Oryzias latipes: one gene and its partners. The protein of the gene in region 1 purifies or fractionates together with the protein of each later gene. This does not show direct contact. Links are inferred from orthologs where the notes say so. Each region holds a gene or a part of one and is shown in the gene's direction. Other genes may lie near its edges. The genes, in order: polr3f, polr2f, polr3gl and polr3b.

Region 1 (4,141 bases):
AAGTTTGGATGGTATGATTCAAATAAATTGGCTTAAGTCTTTTCTGCAAAATGGGAGAAATATTTGGTTTCATATTCCCTCAAACATCTTTTCTCATCTAGGGGGTATTGAGTTGCTTCTAAAATGTGATTTTGATTACAGAAAACTTCCTATTAAACTTTCTACTCATCATCAGCAGCTGTTACTGTATGGAAACTCCTCTACAAACATAACTGTAGTTCACACAATACTCCATATGGAACTGTTGGGATATTTTATGTAGGAACAAATCAATATTTTACAAACATTGGATTGATGACAGTATTTGGTCATTAATACATATTATGAATGACAATGGAAACATTATCTCATTTGAAACTTTTTCCAGTAAATTTAAATTAAATGATAGAAAATAATATAATAATGTGATCAAAGCCTCAGACTTTGGTCCAAATGTCCTCCAGTCTGGTTCATGATGATCAAGTTCAGCTTCCCTCTCTGTTGTTTGATGGTCGACCGGTTAATTCAAAACTTCCAAACTCATTTATACGATCTTTATTTGTTAGAGCCGTCCTGTTTCCAACATTAGACATAAATCATTCTATGTCACAGCTTTACACAAGAGAGGAAATAAGCAAGTTGAGGTCTCAGTTCATTAAATATCCAATTTTCCCAAAATACAAAGAAATCCATTTTAAAATAATGAATGCAGTCTATCCATGCAAAGAACTGTTACACATACGTTTAGGTTTTCCAGAGAATAACTGTTCTTTTTGTGATATAAATATTGAAACACTTGATCATTTGTTTTTTGAATGTATGTATGTTTACAGTTTTTGGGAGGATTTCTTTTTTTGGTGCTCTTCAAAGTTTCCCTTTCCTATTTCTATTCACTTACAAAAGCACATTATATTATTTGGAGTAGTTTCTGGTGATAATCTATTTGATTTGACATTCAATACCTTATTAATATCTGGGAAATTTTTCATTCACAAGTGCAGATTTGTAAAAACGAAACCATTATTTAATACATTTCTTAAAGAAATCAGTTTATATTTTAAATCTCTGACATTGATGAAAAACAAAAATGCAATAAAACTGTGTGTTTTCATTGAAGATCACATGCTGTATGACAATCCCTAGTGTTGTAAACTATAATTCTATATATTTTGTTTTATTTATTTACTTATTTTCTTTTTCTCTCTTTTTTGTATGTTGTTATTATGTGTATGTTTAAAGTTCAAATAAACAAAATTAAAAAAAAACAAAAAAAAACGTGAACGGACATCACGTGCTCTGATGACGTCACACAGGACCGAGCCTCTCCCGCCGCTGGGGGGCGGTAACGCTCCGGTCTCCGTGGTTCCCCCAGAAGAAGAAGCGGCGTCACCGGCAGCAGCGGACCGGGGAGATGGCGGAGGTTCGGGTAAAGAAAGAGACGAACCTGGCGGAACCTGCAGAGGTGGAGACCAGGTTCGGACCTCACGATTCTGCCGCGTGCCGGTCCATGACCGAAGCGCGTGCATTTCATCTACGAGCAGCTCCTTGGCTTGTTTCATGCGCGCGTGTCTTAAGTTCAGAAACGGTTCTGGTTCCGGAGGCTACTCTAAACCGAACCTCAGCAGGCTTCTAAGACCGAAACCACTTTGTCTGGTTCCAGAGGTTCGAATCGGGAGACCGACTCAGCTCACGCTCAGGTGGTTTTAGAACCGAGTCCAGTTCTGAAGGTTTTAGATCTGAGTAAACCTCCGAAGACTTCAGAACCGAGTGCAGGTCTGAAGACATTAGACTCGAGTCACTCGGGTCTAATGTCTTCATAACTGGACTCGGACTCGAGTCCCGTGAGTTCAGGTCTAAAGACTAAAGGAACCGAGTCCATCCAGGTCTGAAGACTTCAGAACTGAGTCCCGGTATGAAGGTTTTAGATCCGAGTCCAGGTCTGAAGACTTTAGAACCGAGTTCAGTTCTGCAGACTTTAGAACCGAGTCCCGGTATGAAGGTTTTAGATCCGAGTCCTGGTTTGAAGGTCCAGGTCCGAGGACTATCGCTGCAGCTGTTGGATGTTCTGGATGTTGTTCAGAGAACACGCGGATGGGTCAGACGGATTCTAGAGTTCAGGCGGTCTTTGGACCATTTCTGAAGATCCAACGTGACGTTCTGAACGGACCAGAAACACTAGAACCTCCGTCTTGGAGAGGTCCATCTGAAGATGTTCCTTTTTGTTCCAACTGGAGATGAGACCCAAGCTGACACAGGGTTTATTATGGGATGTCTGATCTTTGGAGCGACTGGACCTTGTGGTTCTGATCCAGGAACTTCAGCTCTGAACGCCTGTGTGTCTCCAGGATCAGAGAGCTGTGTCAGCAGTTCCCTCAGGGAATCACAGACCAGGTGATCCAGAACGACATGCCTCACCTGGAGCCGCAGCAGAGGGCCCTGGCCATCAACAAGCTGCTGTCCCTGGTTAGTCCGGTTCTGAACAACCCAATCCATTCTTCAGCGCAGAGGGGTTCTAACGTAACCTGGTGTTTGTTCCAGGGCCAGCTGGACTTGCTCAGGAACAGTTCTGGTCTTCTGTACAGATTAAAAGATTCTCAGACAGCCAGGTGAGCAGCGTTCCATCTGCAGGTTCTGGTTCTGTCCACCGTGAACCCCAATCCTCTGTTTCAGTAAGATGAAGGGCTCGGACAACCAGGAGAAGCTGGTTTACCAGATCATCGAGGATGCCGGAAACAAAGGTGAGCTCTGTCTGCCTCCTTCCAGAAGGTACCGCGGGTCAGAACCTCCCAGATGTTCTGTTCGCAGGAATCTGGAGCAGAGACATCCGCTTCAAGAGCAACCTCCCTCTGACCGAGATCAACAAGATCCTGAAGAACCTGGAGAGCAAGAAGCTCATCAAAGCCGTCAAATCTGTGGCCGTGAGTTCAGAACCGAGCCGGTCCAGACGTGCTTGTGGCCGCCGGCAGTCCTGAACTCTGCTCGTCTGCCACGCAGGCGTCCAAGAAGAAGGTCTACATGCTGTACAACGTGCAGCCGGACCGCTCCGTCACCGGAGGGGCCTGGTACAGCGACCAGGACTTTGAGTCCGAGTTCGTGGAGGTTCTGAACCAGCAGTGCTTCAAGTTCCTGCAGAGCAAGGTATGGAGAACCCAAATGTACGGAACACCAAACCAATGGGTCACAAAGGTCAGAGGTCAGCTGTAGAGCTACGTTTACACCGGGAAACGCGTTCAAGGGACCGCTTTGAGTCCAAAGTCTACGGGAACGCGTCTACGCTTCCGCCTCCAAACTCTACAAAAAGCGCCGCCATTGAACGTGAAACCAGTTGAACTTTGACCAATCAGGGACTCTGAGTTGGTTGCGACGTATGATGGCGTCAAAGCAGAAGTACCAACGACTGAAACTTGATCAGAAAGGACAAAGTAATAACTGCGGTTTGTGTCGACGCCAAGTCTATGATGGATCAGAATCGAGCTGTGAACAAAAGACTCACCAGATTTGGACGTTTCCCACCGAGTCGTCCAACCGCAGGAGACGGCGCCGGGTAGCCACAGTCCAGAATGAACGCCGTAGGCGAGCAAAGGTTCTGTGGTCTTCAACGCGCATCACGTGTGTGAACGTAGCACCAGGCTGAGGGGCCCACCCCTCACCCCCACTCACCCCTGTGTGCAGGCGGAGGCGGCGCGGGGCGGCCAGCAGAGCCCCATGGTTCAGAGGAACAGCTCCTTCGCCACGTCTCACGAAGTCTGGAAGTACATCAGCGAGTTGGGCATCAGCAAGGTGGCCCCGCCGTGACCTCACAGCCCCTCCCAACAGCTGCAGCTGTTCTCACAGGTGTCCCGTGTGCAGGTGGACCTGTCCATGGACGACATCGAGACCATCCTGAACACGCTGATCTACGACGGGAAGGTGGAGATGACCGTGATCGCCGCCAAGGAGGGGACGGTGGGCAGCGTGGACGGACAGATGAAGCTGTACCGCGGCGTGAACGCCGTGCTGCCGCCGGCGGGCCTGGTGAAGACGCCCTGCGGCCTGTGCCCGGTAAGCCGCGCTCCGACGCCCCCTGCTGCCGCTCCGGCTGCGGCACTCACCCCCCCCCCCCCCCCAATCTCTCTGCAGGTGTTTGACGACTGTCACGAAGGGGGGGAGATCTCGCCATCCA
Region 2 (4,289 bases), on another chromosome or scaffold:
AATTGTTTACAAAGTCCAGCAAGAGAAAAACGGAGTACTTTGAAATAGAAACCAATTCCTACTGATGTTATTTTTTTACCACTTTTTTAAAACCCTGTTTTAAGAAAAATATTTTTCCAAACCTGCATCACTAGAAAATGCTTAAAGTTGTTGTCCTACAGATTTCTTCTGAGACAAAATCAGCCATGCAGATTCCTGCACTATCTTTTGCTATATTTACTTTTTAGTTTTTTTTAGTAATTTGGTTAAAGGGGTTCATCAGAAAATGTATAGAAAACTGTGAAAGAGAGCAATTTTACAAGTGACATTTTTTTAAAAGGTTGTGACAAGAATCTCCTGTCAAATGTTCACTTTTATTGTAAATTATTGCAACTTGTTGTTTACTAAATTAACAAAGAATCAATTGCATATTTCATAGTTGGGCTATATTTGAAAAAAAAAAGTTTATGTGTAACCAACAAACAGGATTAATTTTGTTGTTAAAAACGTGAACATTTCTTCCTTTTTGTGTTTAGAAATTCTTACCCATCCACTGCTATATTTATAAAATAGGTAATGAAGAATTGTTTTAAAAGAAATCTCTTTTGTATAGACACATTTTATTAAATAAGTGAAGAATCTAAATGGATCTGTTCTTTGACAAAGTGCCAGCTGTTTGAGCTTAACCCTAGCAAAAAGTTGACGCTTTTATTTTTTTAAGTTTGCTTGAATATAAGTATAAAGCAAGTACGCTGTACTAAAGACCATGTTCATGTAGTGTAGAGATGAAGTATACTAACAGAATATTTCTTGAGACTGGAAATTGGAAATTTTAAGTTTACAATATCTAGATTTTATCTTGACATTATATTTTAAAAAAATAAACGTCAAGTATACTGCCTCACATTTATAAGTATACTTGTAGTACACTTAAATAGACTACTTCTTGCAATGAGTATTCTTACATAAGACAGGAAAGCACTTGCAAAAACATTTTTATGTTGTTTATTGTGAATATCTTTTCATTTGATCACGTAGGAAAATATATTAGATGAAGAGTAAAAAAAACAGAATCCAGCCTTAGCTCTGAATGTTTTTTCGCATTCGGTTGACCCAATTCTGTTCTTTAACTTTGCACTAAGTGACATGCCATTGTTACTCGTTTTCTATAAATGCAGGGCAAAAAATTAAGAATTATTAGTATTCATTTTCTCTCAAGGGTACATTAAAATAAATGTTGAAAACTATCATTTTGGTGTCTTCTTTTTCTCTAAAGGTACAGCCTTGGTTTTCCATAGTTTGATGGATTTATATTTATTTCTAGTTGAAGTTTATTTTGTTTAGGATACTTGACTATAATAGAAAGTAAGCTTTTTATATACTATTTGTTTGCTTGTTTTTAAATTGAATTAGAAAAAGGTAGGACAAAAAAAGAAATTCTAGTTGAGAAGCCGGACATAATTTTTCAGCGTACACGCGCACCGGAAGTTTAGAGACCACAACGCTCAATGTGGTTTAGCCTCTAAATTAAATTTGCTGCTAATAAACTCTATTAGTATCTATATTGGAAAAAATATAAGTTAAAACATGTCTGATAACGAAGACAAGTAAGTTGTGATCTATGTTCATCAAATAATGTCATGGTATATGTTAATTTTAAATCTATTTTAGCGTGTAGCCTGTTAGCTAAGCTAGGTTACGACTTCACCGTTTTCGGTCTTTGATACAGTTTTTGTCAACATTTGCAGCTTTGATGATGGAGACTTTGAGGACGCCGATGAGGACGAAGGATTAGACGATCTGGAAAACGTGGAAGATGTATGTTCGTCTGCACTTTTTTCATTTAGTGGATCATATTTGGGGTTCATTATTCATGATTTCTATCTGGCAGTCTAATCAGATGCTTGTTTTCCTTGGATGATCATCAGGAGGACCAGGAGAACGTACAGATCCTCCCCGCAGGAGAGGGGCAGCAGGCTAACCAGAAAAGGATTACAACACCGCACATGACCAAATATGAGAGAGCGAGAGTGCTGGGAACACGAGCCCTCCAAATAGCGTGAGTTGTTTACTGTAAAATAAGCGCTTTACTCTTCTAAACCAATAAGTTAGGCTTCCAAACATTTGTGGCTTTGTTGTTCTTCTTATTTTATTTTGCTAATTTGTCGTGTGGAGCAGCTGATCAAACAGATGAGAGCTGAAGGCCCCTGGTGTTGGACAGATTGTAATGTTACCATAGGAGTTTTGAAGCTTTGGGCAGAGGAGGTTTATGTCACTACAAACCTTTTTGTATTGAGGCTTAACTTTATTTTATTAATATTTGTGCTTATTGAACTATGCTGCATGTACCCCATCTTTGCCCCAAAACAGCTAGGATAGGCTCCTTCAGACCCTGATCTACAATAGGCCGGTTTTAGAAAAATGATGGACTTGTGTCCATTCCTTTTTGGACCGGAGAAAACGGAGAAGGATAGTGGGATATTAGGGATGGGGGGGACAAGATAGAAAAGGACATATAGAAGTTGGAGAGTCACCAAAGAAACACACCATTGCAAACAAAAAGAGACAAAACGTTGCTAGAGGTTATTTATAACTTTCACAATTAGATGTTTATGTTTATCGCACACACTGAATATTATAAACATTCCTGTTGCCCTCAAAAACCTTCACTCTTGCATATTGTCATGTACACAACACAGATAGAGATCAGATAAATATGCACCTTCATTTGCATAAAAGCAGATACAATCTCATACAAAAGTCCTTTTCTGAGCCAAGGTGAGTGGGCATTGGTGCTTAGTTTTTTTGTCTGTGTTCTACTGTGGACAATGATGGTATGAAGCGTAATGAATAAAAAAAAGGGGGGGAGCACCTGGTCGTCCCACACCAAGCCCCCCAGAATGAGGTGAGGCAGTAGCGGCAGCCAGGACCACCACAGCCAGGAGGGAATCCACCACCCCAGTGACCCGATACCAGCCATCCATACCAGAGGAGGGACTGCCGAAATAGTCCCCAGCACCAAAGAGCAAGGAGTCACAGGAGCATGGAGAATGCACGCCCTGGCCCAGCTAGAGAAAAGCCCCCCAGCTGTGCTATGGGCCCATCACGAGGTCCCAACTGGTTGCTGCAGATCACGTGTTTCAGGGACAAACAAAAAAATCTTTGCATCTCATTTTGTCAAAATGACACTGAATTACATTTCTCAGTTTTGCAGCTTTGAAGGCAGGTTCTGGGTTTGAACCTGGTTGTTGACATCTCTGTGTTTTTGTGTTTGGGCCGTTTAAGGACACACTGGTTTGAAAAGTGTGTGTGTGAATGAACAGTCCATGAATCCTCTGCCCCGCCTGTTTTCTGGCTTTAAAATAATGACATTTTACTTCAATTTGGGATTTATTTTGAGGATTTTGTCGTTGTTCTGCCGACAGCATGTGCGCTCCTGTGATGGTCGAGTTGGAGGGAGAAACAGACCCCTTGCAGATCGCCATGAAGGAACTAAAGTACATCAGATTATTCCATTTCTGTCTAAATTCTTTCATCTTGTTTTGTTCCTGGTAACTCAATGTTTGCCGTTTGTTCTGAACAGGAGCAGAAAGATCCCCATCATCATCCGCAGGTACCTCCCCGACGGCAGCTACGAGGACTGGGGCTGTGATGAGCTCATCATTACCGACTAAACAAACCTGGACTTTCAGCTGAACTTCAGAGCTTCGATGATACCAAACAGAAGCAGCAAATGCAGTCATTTTAAAACCTGCTTTGCAAGCATGAGCCAGTAGGGGGAGACATAACTTTGTTTAAACACATTTTTTTAACAAACTGAACTTTTGTTGTAAGTATTCCAAGTGTTGATTTTGATCAGAGATCATCTGTTTTATTGTTATAAATAAAGTCTTTTTTTATGATAATTTCACGGTTTCTGACTGTTATTATTAAAGTTTTAATGTCAGCATGAGTCATAGTCAGGGAAAAAATGGTCAGTTTTGGTCATTTAAAAAAAGAACCAAATCAGTTGATTAAACTTCAAGAATCATGTGGTGTTTGATTGATGCAGCTTTGATGTCAGCGGGTCTTTATTTTCCTTGAGGCTACAGCCCTTGTGGATTTGGTGAAGCCGTCAGAAAACAGACGGAGGCTCTCTCTGAGTTTATCCACGGAACCATGTGAATGAAGCAGCTCAACAGGTCGGCATTGTTCAAAGGGAGTGTTTGCCCTGGCAGAGAGACGCGCGGCGCTGGAGGAAAAACCAGTGCTCAGGGGAGAAGGGCTTGTTCTTGAGTTTTCTGCCCGAAGAGAATCTATTTTCAGCCCAG
Region 3 (4,145 bases), on another chromosome or scaffold:
TGAAGTACCGGGTGCCATGTCGCCGACCCCTGCTGAACTACGATTGGGATGTCGTGACAGGGCGTCCACATTCTGCCAGAACGATACTTTATCTCATAATCATCATGGCCCATTTAAGAGCCAAGAACTCCAGCTTCATAGAGCTGCAGTTCTGCATGTTACGCTCTGTAGCTTTTAGCCCCCTACTGGCATGGCAATGGCCGCACACTGCCACCCTGCTCCTGGGACAAAACTGCACCAAGGCCATTGTGGCTGGCATCTACTTCCAGAATAAAGGGTAGTGTGAAGTCAGCACAGGCCAAAACTGGCGCTGACGTCAATTTCTGCTCACAGCACCAAGATTCCTGTGGCAGTATGGTTTCCCCTTGGATGCCTCCAGTAGAAGACTTAAAATGAAGAGCACAGGACTCTCCGACAGGAAACCAAGACTGTGCTTTTAAGAAAATAGACACCCTTTATTACAAATAGTATTAAAATTCCTATTCTGAAAGACACCCAAAAGAGTTAACCAAACCACAAGGGCCATCATGCCCAGCCCACACAGTCAGCTGCACCCAGCCGTGCGCTCTGTTGCGGCACAACAGGCTCAATGCCACGCCCCTTGCGTACAGTGGCAGTAACCGACGCCAGTCCAGGGTGGTGGGACACTGGGCTCTGGTTGTGCCCGGGGCCACAGAAGGCCGGAAGGGGGAACCCGCTCCGATAGCTCTCGATCCGGCTTCATCACGCCGCTCCCCAGTGCGTGGATGGACGGCACTCGCTGAAACGGTGTACAGAGCACACACGATCCCCGGAAATCCCGGCCGTGGCACCGCTCCTGGACAACGGTGCACCAAGGGGTCAGCGGGTTGGATAGAGCAGAAATGCAAACAAACGATGGGAAACAAAAGAAACAGCGGCACCTGCCCCCCAGCTCAGGAGGACTCTCCACAGGAGTCGCATGAGCGGCCAAACACTGCCTGCGATCCAGCTATGGTTATGGTTATGGTTATGGTTATGGCCCCACACACAGCCAAAGGCTGTTGTAAACTTAGTTCATAAATGTTAAATGAGCTGTGATGGTAGCATGCTGCTGCTGTTCTGCTGCTGCTGTTCTGCTGCTACTTCTGCTCCAATAAAACATGTCAGTTGACATGGACAGAGTGACTCTATGGGGGGGGGGGCGGGGGGGTCTCGCGCGGGGAGTAATTCAGGGTAGAACCGCCACTGCTATCGACCATAAATGTAGCTGGATTTCTGTCCTCCTGTCCGATAGGGGGCAGAAACGCGCGGCCCAACGCAGAATGCAAGCGCGCGCAAACTGCCGTAGGACATTTCCGGTGGGTAGTAGGCGGGGCGCCTGTAAAGCGAGGTCCGGGGACGGTAAACAACCGTTCGTGGTGGAGTTTGTGAAAGTCTGAACCGAACATGGAGCGCGCCGCGGGAGCGCGCACTAAGCTGCAGCCGTAACGGAAAAGCGGGAACAGGTCAGAGGAGTCATACCCGACCGAGCGCGAGCCCAGGTCAGAAGGGAGCCCGCAGGGTTCTGATGGAGCTTCACGATCAGCCTGATCGATGAGGCTGATGACGTCAGCCGAAGCCCCTGAATCAAAAACCAAAACATTTTCCTCGTTTCTCTGAAAGCAGCTCAGAACCACAGCGACCAGAGAGGCGTGACGTCATCAGGAAGCAGGGGTTCAAACGTGGGTTCTTAGGCCCCACATGCTGCAGTGTCGTCAGTGACATCATCACATACGTCATCAGGGCTGGAATGGTTCCCTGTCGAGACGGATCCGATTCCTAGTCCATATCTAGTCAATGCAGAATTCAGTCGCCGTTTTAACGCCGCCGCCAGTGATTGGTCCGAGTTGGTCTGAGTCATCGTTTCTATAGCAACCACACTGACCAACCAGGAGTGAGCTTGTTGAAAGGCCACACCCACTTGAAAGCAGGTTACAGAAATCAGTCAAACTTGGGGTTAGGGTCAGCAGGCTCCACCCACTTTCATTGAGGCGTCTGATTGGTCAGTTTATACCTTGAACTACAGAAATGAAATGAAAAATGAGGATTATCAGGAAGAGGTTCTAAAGAATCAGATCCAGAGCGGTTCCTCTGACCCATAGAACGACTGAGGAACAGCCGTTTGTAGATGTCTACGGGATTTTCCTGTTTGGAACGCTAGGGGGCGGGGCCACTCGGTCCAGTTCCCACATGCAGTCACTGGTTTATTCCCGTTTTTTCCTCTGGAAATGCCTGTATACTGCCACCTGCTGGAACAGACGCTACATGACATCAGGTTCTGAGGGGATGGAAGGAACAACCGAAAACGATCAAACACACCTGAAAGGCCTTGATGCGCTTCCCTCTGACCTGAAAAGGGGGAGTGGTCATTGGGCTGTGTGACAGGGGCGGGGCTTACCCCGTGGACGTATCCTGATTTACAGTGGGGTCCTGTTGTGTCTTTAGGGCGGTTCTGGCTCGGTCCGGTTTTGTCTGAGGGGGACCAGCCATGGCGGGACGAGGGCGGGGCCGTAGGCCTTTCGGCACGGACTCGAGCATCAGCAGGGGAGAAGGTCTCCCCCCAGGACTTCAGCAGCCCACGCCTGTGTTTCCTGTAAGCCCCGCCCACACCAGGAAAACCCCTCATTTATATTTAAGTGTTATTCTTTTTGGTTGAATGAAATCCCTCTGTTGTTGTTTTCATTGTTTGTTAAAGCTGTTCATGTCATTCTGAACCTTGTGGGTTATTATGGGATGTCACTGACGTCTACGTTAGGCAGACATTTATCGTCTCGACGTGAACCGTAACAAACAACAGATGCAGGAAAGAGGAGCTCTGACATTTTTCTGCTCTGACACCAACAGTTGGGGTAATGCGCTGATTTTGAAGCACTGAATTCTGGGATTTGAAGTTGGTGGATTTGGTGTCCAGGTGATGGAGCAGAAGCCCCTCCCCCTGGCAGGTGGAGAAGAAGCAGAGTATCTATTGGCCCTGAAGCAGGATTTTAGAGGAGTGATGAAGAATCTGCCATTCTTCATCAAGCCAGCAGCAGCACAGCGAGGTCACACACGTGCACACACACACGCGCGCACACACACACGCAGTCTTATTTTGAAAGTCCTGCTTTCTTCCTGTGCAGATGTTCAGCGCTACTCGGACAAATATCACAGCAGCGAGCAGACGAACAGCCTCACGGACTGGAACCTGGGTGAGACGCCGTTACCACGGTAACATCCAATGAAAACGCCATCAGAACCTTCATGTCTGCACGTCTCTGGATTTCAGACTGGAGACGATTCCCCAGAGAGCTGCAGGTCCACATCAGGAGGAGAGTCAGAGAAGGCGAGTAATCCCATTACTCAGTACTCTGGGTACCTTACTGACTCGTCTGAACAGTATTCATCAGCAGTAATCAGATTACTCAGGGGGGTGAGCATCAGCTGCTGTCTCCCTCAGGTCTGGCCTTCAGCACCATGGATAGTTCTGTGCCAGTCCAGAAGAAGAAGAAGAAGAAGGAGGAAGAGGAGGTGCTGCTCAAACTGGAGGTGAAGGGTTTCTATAGAACCTCTGATGATGATGATGATGATGATGATGATGGCTTTAATGGAAGTGTCTGCAGACCCTGGAGAAGAAGGAGGAGCATGAGCAGAGCTCAGAGGAGGAGGAGGGAGGGGTGAAGAAGAAGCCGGAGGAGGAGGAGGGAGCAGAGGCAGAGGAGGAGTATGATGAGGAAGAACTGGAGGAGGTACGTGGTCAGCAGGCCTGGGTCAGAACCACGGAGGCTCTGCAGGTCTAACTGGACCCTCTGTGCAGGAAACCGACTACATCATGTCGTACTTCGACAACGGCGAGGAATTCGGCGGCGACAGCGACGACAACATGGACGAGGCCATTTACTGAGCAGCTGCTGCACGTGCACGCCACGTGCACGCGTGTGACTGAAGAGGCAGTCCAACCTGGTGTCACCTGCTGCTCCAATAAACAGACGGTCACGTGACCTCGTGTGTCGACCTGCAGCCAACAGTCTGACGTTTGATCCTTTCGGGCCGTACCATACTTCACCACCAGGGGGGGCCGACGTCCCACCTACTGTTGGCGCTGGAGCTTCTGCTTCCAGGAGGTGACGTCAGCCTGAAAGCTTCAGTTTAGTTTTTCATTTCAAACA
Region 4 (3,561 bases), on another chromosome or scaffold:
TCCCAAAAACCTACTGAAAGCTTCATTTTGCAGAGATTTGTCCTCCTTTTTCTTTTTTTGATCATAACTTTAATGAAAGTTGCCACGCAATGAAAAAGTCTGCTTTAGCCTTTTTCTTATTCTATTTTTTATGCCAGGATGCCGATCATGCTGCGAAGCTCCAACTGTGTTCTCACAGGGAAGACGCCCATGGAGTTTTCTAAACTAAATGAGTGTCCTCTGGACCCAGGTTCTCTGCAAAAACACCCCCCCCCTCCCCTGAAACCCTACAAATTGATAACCTGCGCATAACCTAGCAACAGCAGTTCATCACAACCCCGTCAGTTCATTATTCTGTTTTCACAGGAGGTTACTTCATCGTTAAAGGTCAAGAGAAAGTCATCCTGATCCAGGAGCAGCTGTCGAAGAATCGGATCATCGTGGACCAAGACAGGAAGGGGACAGTTGGAGCTTCAGTTACCAGGTACGTCCTTTAGGCATCAACCAGACTTAAAGGAATCTCAATTTTTAGCTTGGGTTTTAAAAAAGTGGATACATTTTGACGTTTACAGCCTGAACTTCAACGTTTTCTCAGTTTTGTGCAACCAATACAAGTTCTATGGAGAAATAAAGAAACATTAAGCAGCCTTTAATGCCTTTCAACTGACATTTGTCAAAGTTTAGGACTGGCAAATAATAACTTGGGCTGAGTACATAATCAATCTTAGTCATCAAAACTCCTTCATATTGAAGACAAATGATCTAGCCTTATTTTATATTTTCTGTTATTAAATGTAATGATCACTTCCTGTGATTGAAGAACATCAACATTCATGGTGGAAAAGAGTTGACTTTGCTGTAGCCTGGCAAACAATACATGTTTTCACGTTTCACGTGATCAATGTTTTTTTGTGCGTTTTAAATGAATAAAATCTGGGTATAAATAATTTAAAAAACATTTATTCTTTAGGGTTTGGCAGTTTGCTTTATTTGACTCCCCTTTGGTTTGTTGAACATACAGTTTTTAAATGTTAATGCAGAATAGTGTATAGGGCAGTTTTAGTGTTTTAACTGCAGGACAGACAGACAGATCTGGTCTTAACCTCTTGATGCTGATTGATGCAAATATGCGTCAAACCACATTGGCTCTAAAATTACCTTAATTTTTTCATCTATTGAATGCAAAAACATAAGTAATTTTTTTCCTTGTTTTGATATAATTTCAGGCAAATGCTATGCAAGCCCTTTGAAAAATGTGTTGTTTTTTTTTTCATTTCACAGCTCCACTCACGAAAAGAAAAGTAGAACTAATATAATTGTGAAGCAAGGACGCTTCTACCTGAGGCATAACACGCTGTCTGAGGACGCTCCCATCGCCATCATCTTTAAGGTAGTTTTCAGAAACTGTTCAGGGTTGGGGGCTACCACCTGAGGCTCCGGAGCCACATGGGGTTCTTTATCCCTCCATTGCGAATTTTTGACTTAAAAAGAAATTAAAAAACAATAGGTTTGTTAGTTAAGTTTTGTCATTTATGTTAAGGTGTTTAAGCCGAGGTGTTCTTTTGCTGCTTATTGTAAATATTTCAAAGCTACATTTTTATAAATTACCAGCTAAATGGCCACACAAATAGAAAAAGTATATTCTATTTGGTGAGGTGGAACTCTGCAGCTCTCATGGGGTTTTGGTCAGTAAGAAACTGGACCAAATGGCTCTTTTAGTATCAAGGTTGCAGGCCCCCTGGTTTAGGGACTCCTAATGCACAGCAGGGGGAGCTATAACCCAAATAGAGGACGACAGAAGAGCATCGGAATATTCTTGTCCTTTGCAATACAAAGATGCATAATATTGAAAGACTCACTCTAGAATGAAGAAAAGTTGTAGTATAACAGATTTCTTTCTCACATCGTTCTTTGCTCAGAGTTAAACATCTGCAGCTTCATTTCTGTGACTTTCTCTCACCTCTCCTTCTCTTTGGTTGCGAGCATGAATCCACAGTGGGGCAGACCCATCAGTTCCCACAGCTTCACATTTACATAAGCAAATGTCAGATCGCTTTAGTTTCTGCAGTTCACTTCTCCCTCTTTGTCAACACATTTGACTTCCATGCTCCTCAGGGTGTGTCCACTCTTCTGCTCTGTGTAAATTTGCGTAGATTTTTATGTAGTGACCCAAATTCTACCAATCTGTGTCTCCCTGCTCACACTCTGCTGTCTGTTTGCATGGTTAGGGTATGGGTGTAGAGAGTGACCAGGAGATTGTGCAGATGATTGGCACAGAGGAGCACGTCATGGCCAACTTCGCCCCAAGCCTGGAGGAGTGTCAGAAAGCCCAGATCTTCACGCAGACTCAGGTACATCAGATCCGAACCAGATGAGGCTAAAATCTGACTCACAAACCTGAGGTTACCTCAGACTCACGTTGGATCTACAACACTAACATCATCAGAGCTCCACTATTTTTATTTTTATTTATTTTTTTAATTTGTCCTGCTGGGCAAACGGATGAGAGCTGAAGGCCTCTTGTGTTGGATTTATTTTACTTTAACAATAGGGGTTTTAGACAAACCAGAGGTATGTCTGAATAACCTCTTTTGTAATCGAGACCAAACTTTATCCATTTTAATCATTGAAATCTTTTGTGTTGGACCAGACGGAAAAAGGAAAGGAGGGAAGAAGAGAGAGGGATGTTATGGGGGGGGGGGGGGGGGTGATTATAGAAGCGGGGGGAGACCATGAAGCAGCATAAAGCAACAAGTTTCTGGATGGTTGTAATCATTACGGTGAGGTTCACATGTAATACAGGTCTATAAGGGCGGGGCCTGTCCACACACACACTCAAATGTTATAAACACACCTGTTGGCTCCAAAATAATGTTCACATGTCAACATGTACACAATACAGATAATGTTCACACACGCATACTTATGCATTCAAACCAACTAGTGTGAAATATTTAATTCAGTCACGCAAACTAAGTGAGCTAATACCTGTGCTCCAGTGAGTGTTTATGTTCTTCTAAAATGAATGATGGAATGTAAAAAGAAGGAAGGAGAGTGCCATCCCCACACCAAGACCCCCGCCGCAGCAGCCGCGGCAGCCAGAACCCCCCCAACACCCGCATGGCAGCAGATAGAGAACAACCGCCCCTCTGGTACCTGGTACCCCCTACCAGGGATGGGGTAGGGTGGGACCTTGGACAGATGTGTTCTAAGGGGGTGCAGTTAAAATTGGCGGGTAGGGCACTGAGAGGACATCTCCTGATTACTCACAGTGATGTCCAATCCCCCTCTCCACCAAGGGGCACTATATTTCATTCAGACCATTGCCTGTATAGGAGAACCAGACTGAGTAACCCCTCCCCCTTACATTCCAAACAGGAAGTAGAAGCCAAAATCCCATAGACTTCTATAGAGAAAAAAACAGCTATTACTCAGACATTCTGTTAGTCAGAATAAGCATTCTTGATCTTTTACATGTTCTAGTTAATTCTATTTTCCCCCCCATGATATTCTTTTTTTCATCGCAAGTTATTCAAGTTATAGACCGGCCAAACAGATGCCTCAAACACATGGTGCCCACTG

What was found.
Region 2: the proteins of polr3f (region 1) and polr2f purify together in Homo sapiens (affinity purification with mass spectrometry; 4 studies listed by BioGRID and IntAct, with this or other methods). This does not show direct contact. The link is inferred for Oryzias latipes from reciprocal best matches to the Homo sapiens genes POLR3F and POLR2F.
Region 3: the proteins of polr3f (region 1) and polr3gl purify together in Homo sapiens (co-immunoprecipitation; 5 studies listed by BioGRID and IntAct, counting the BioPlex papers as one, with this or other methods). This does not show direct contact. The link is inferred for Oryzias latipes from reciprocal best matches to the Homo sapiens genes POLR3F and POLR3GL.
Region 4: the proteins of polr3f (region 1) and polr3b fractionate together in Homo sapiens (co-fractionation; 4 studies listed by BioGRID and IntAct, with this or other methods). This does not show direct contact. The link is inferred for Oryzias latipes from reciprocal best matches to the Homo sapiens genes POLR3F and POLR3B.

What each region holds. Positions count from the first base shown.
Region 1 is NC_019859.2:414,590-418,730, reverse strand, and holds the start of polr3f (DNA-directed RNA polymerase III subunit RPC6), read left to right. Parts: upstream 1-1,293; 5' UTR 1,294-1,390; coding exon 1,391-1,452; intron 1,453-2,324; coding exon 2,325-2,442; intron 2,443-2,517; coding exon 2,518-2,585; intron 2,586-2,649; coding exon 2,650-2,717; intron 2,718-2,784; coding exon 2,785-2,897; intron 2,898-2,973; coding exon 2,974-3,117; intron 3,118-3,651; coding exon 3,652-3,759; intron 3,760-3,828; coding exon 3,829-4,020; intron 4,021-4,098; coding exon 4,099-4,141. UniProt on the Homo sapiens protein: DNA-dependent RNA polymerase catalyzes the transcription of DNA into RNA using the four ribonucleoside triphosphates as substrates.
Region 2 is NC_019866.2:19,813,494-19,817,782, forward strand, and holds polr2f (DNA-directed RNA polymerases I, II, and III subunit RPABC2), read left to right. Parts: upstream 1-1,431; 5' UTR 1,432-1,566; coding exon 1,567-1,586; intron 1,587-1,727; coding exon 1,728-1,797; intron 1,798-1,907; coding exon 1,908-2,038; intron 2,039-3,404; coding exon 3,405-3,476; intron 3,477-3,562; coding exon 3,563-3,653; 3' UTR 3,654-3,884; downstream 3,885-4,289. UniProt on the Homo sapiens protein: DNA-dependent RNA polymerase catalyzes the transcription of DNA into RNA using the four ribonucleoside triphosphates as substrates.
Region 3 is NC_019874.2:32,576,055-32,580,199, reverse strand, and holds the start of polr3gl (DNA-directed RNA polymerase III subunit RPC7-like), read left to right. Parts: upstream 1-1,307; 5' UTR 1,308-1,466; exon of another isoform or gene 1,467-1,502; intron 1,503-2,445; 5' UTR 2,446-2,488; coding exon 2,489-2,593; intron 2,594-2,844; exon of another isoform or gene 2,845-2,911; coding exon 2,912-3,041; intron 3,042-3,119; coding exon 3,120-3,188; intron 3,189-3,265; coding exon 3,266-3,322; intron 3,323-3,436; coding exon 3,437-3,525; intron 3,526-3,590; coding exon 3,591-3,725; intron 3,726-3,793; coding exon 3,794-3,880; 3' UTR 3,881-4,145. UniProt on the Homo sapiens protein: DNA-dependent RNA polymerase catalyzes the transcription of DNA into RNA using the four ribonucleoside triphosphates as substrates. Specific peripheric component of RNA polymerase III which synthesizes small RNAs, such as 5S rRNA and tRNAs.
Region 4 is NC_019864.2:21,473,504-21,477,064, forward strand, and holds part of polr3b (DNA-directed RNA polymerase III subunit RPC2), read left to right. Parts: intron 1-137; coding exon 138-229; intron 230-345; coding exon 346-463; intron 464-1,260; coding exon 1,261-1,369; intron 1,370-2,207; coding exon 2,208-2,330; intron 2,331-3,561. UniProt on the Homo sapiens protein: Catalytic core component of RNA polymerase III (Pol III), a DNA-dependent RNA polymerase which synthesizes small non-coding RNAs using the four ribonucleoside triphosphates as substrates.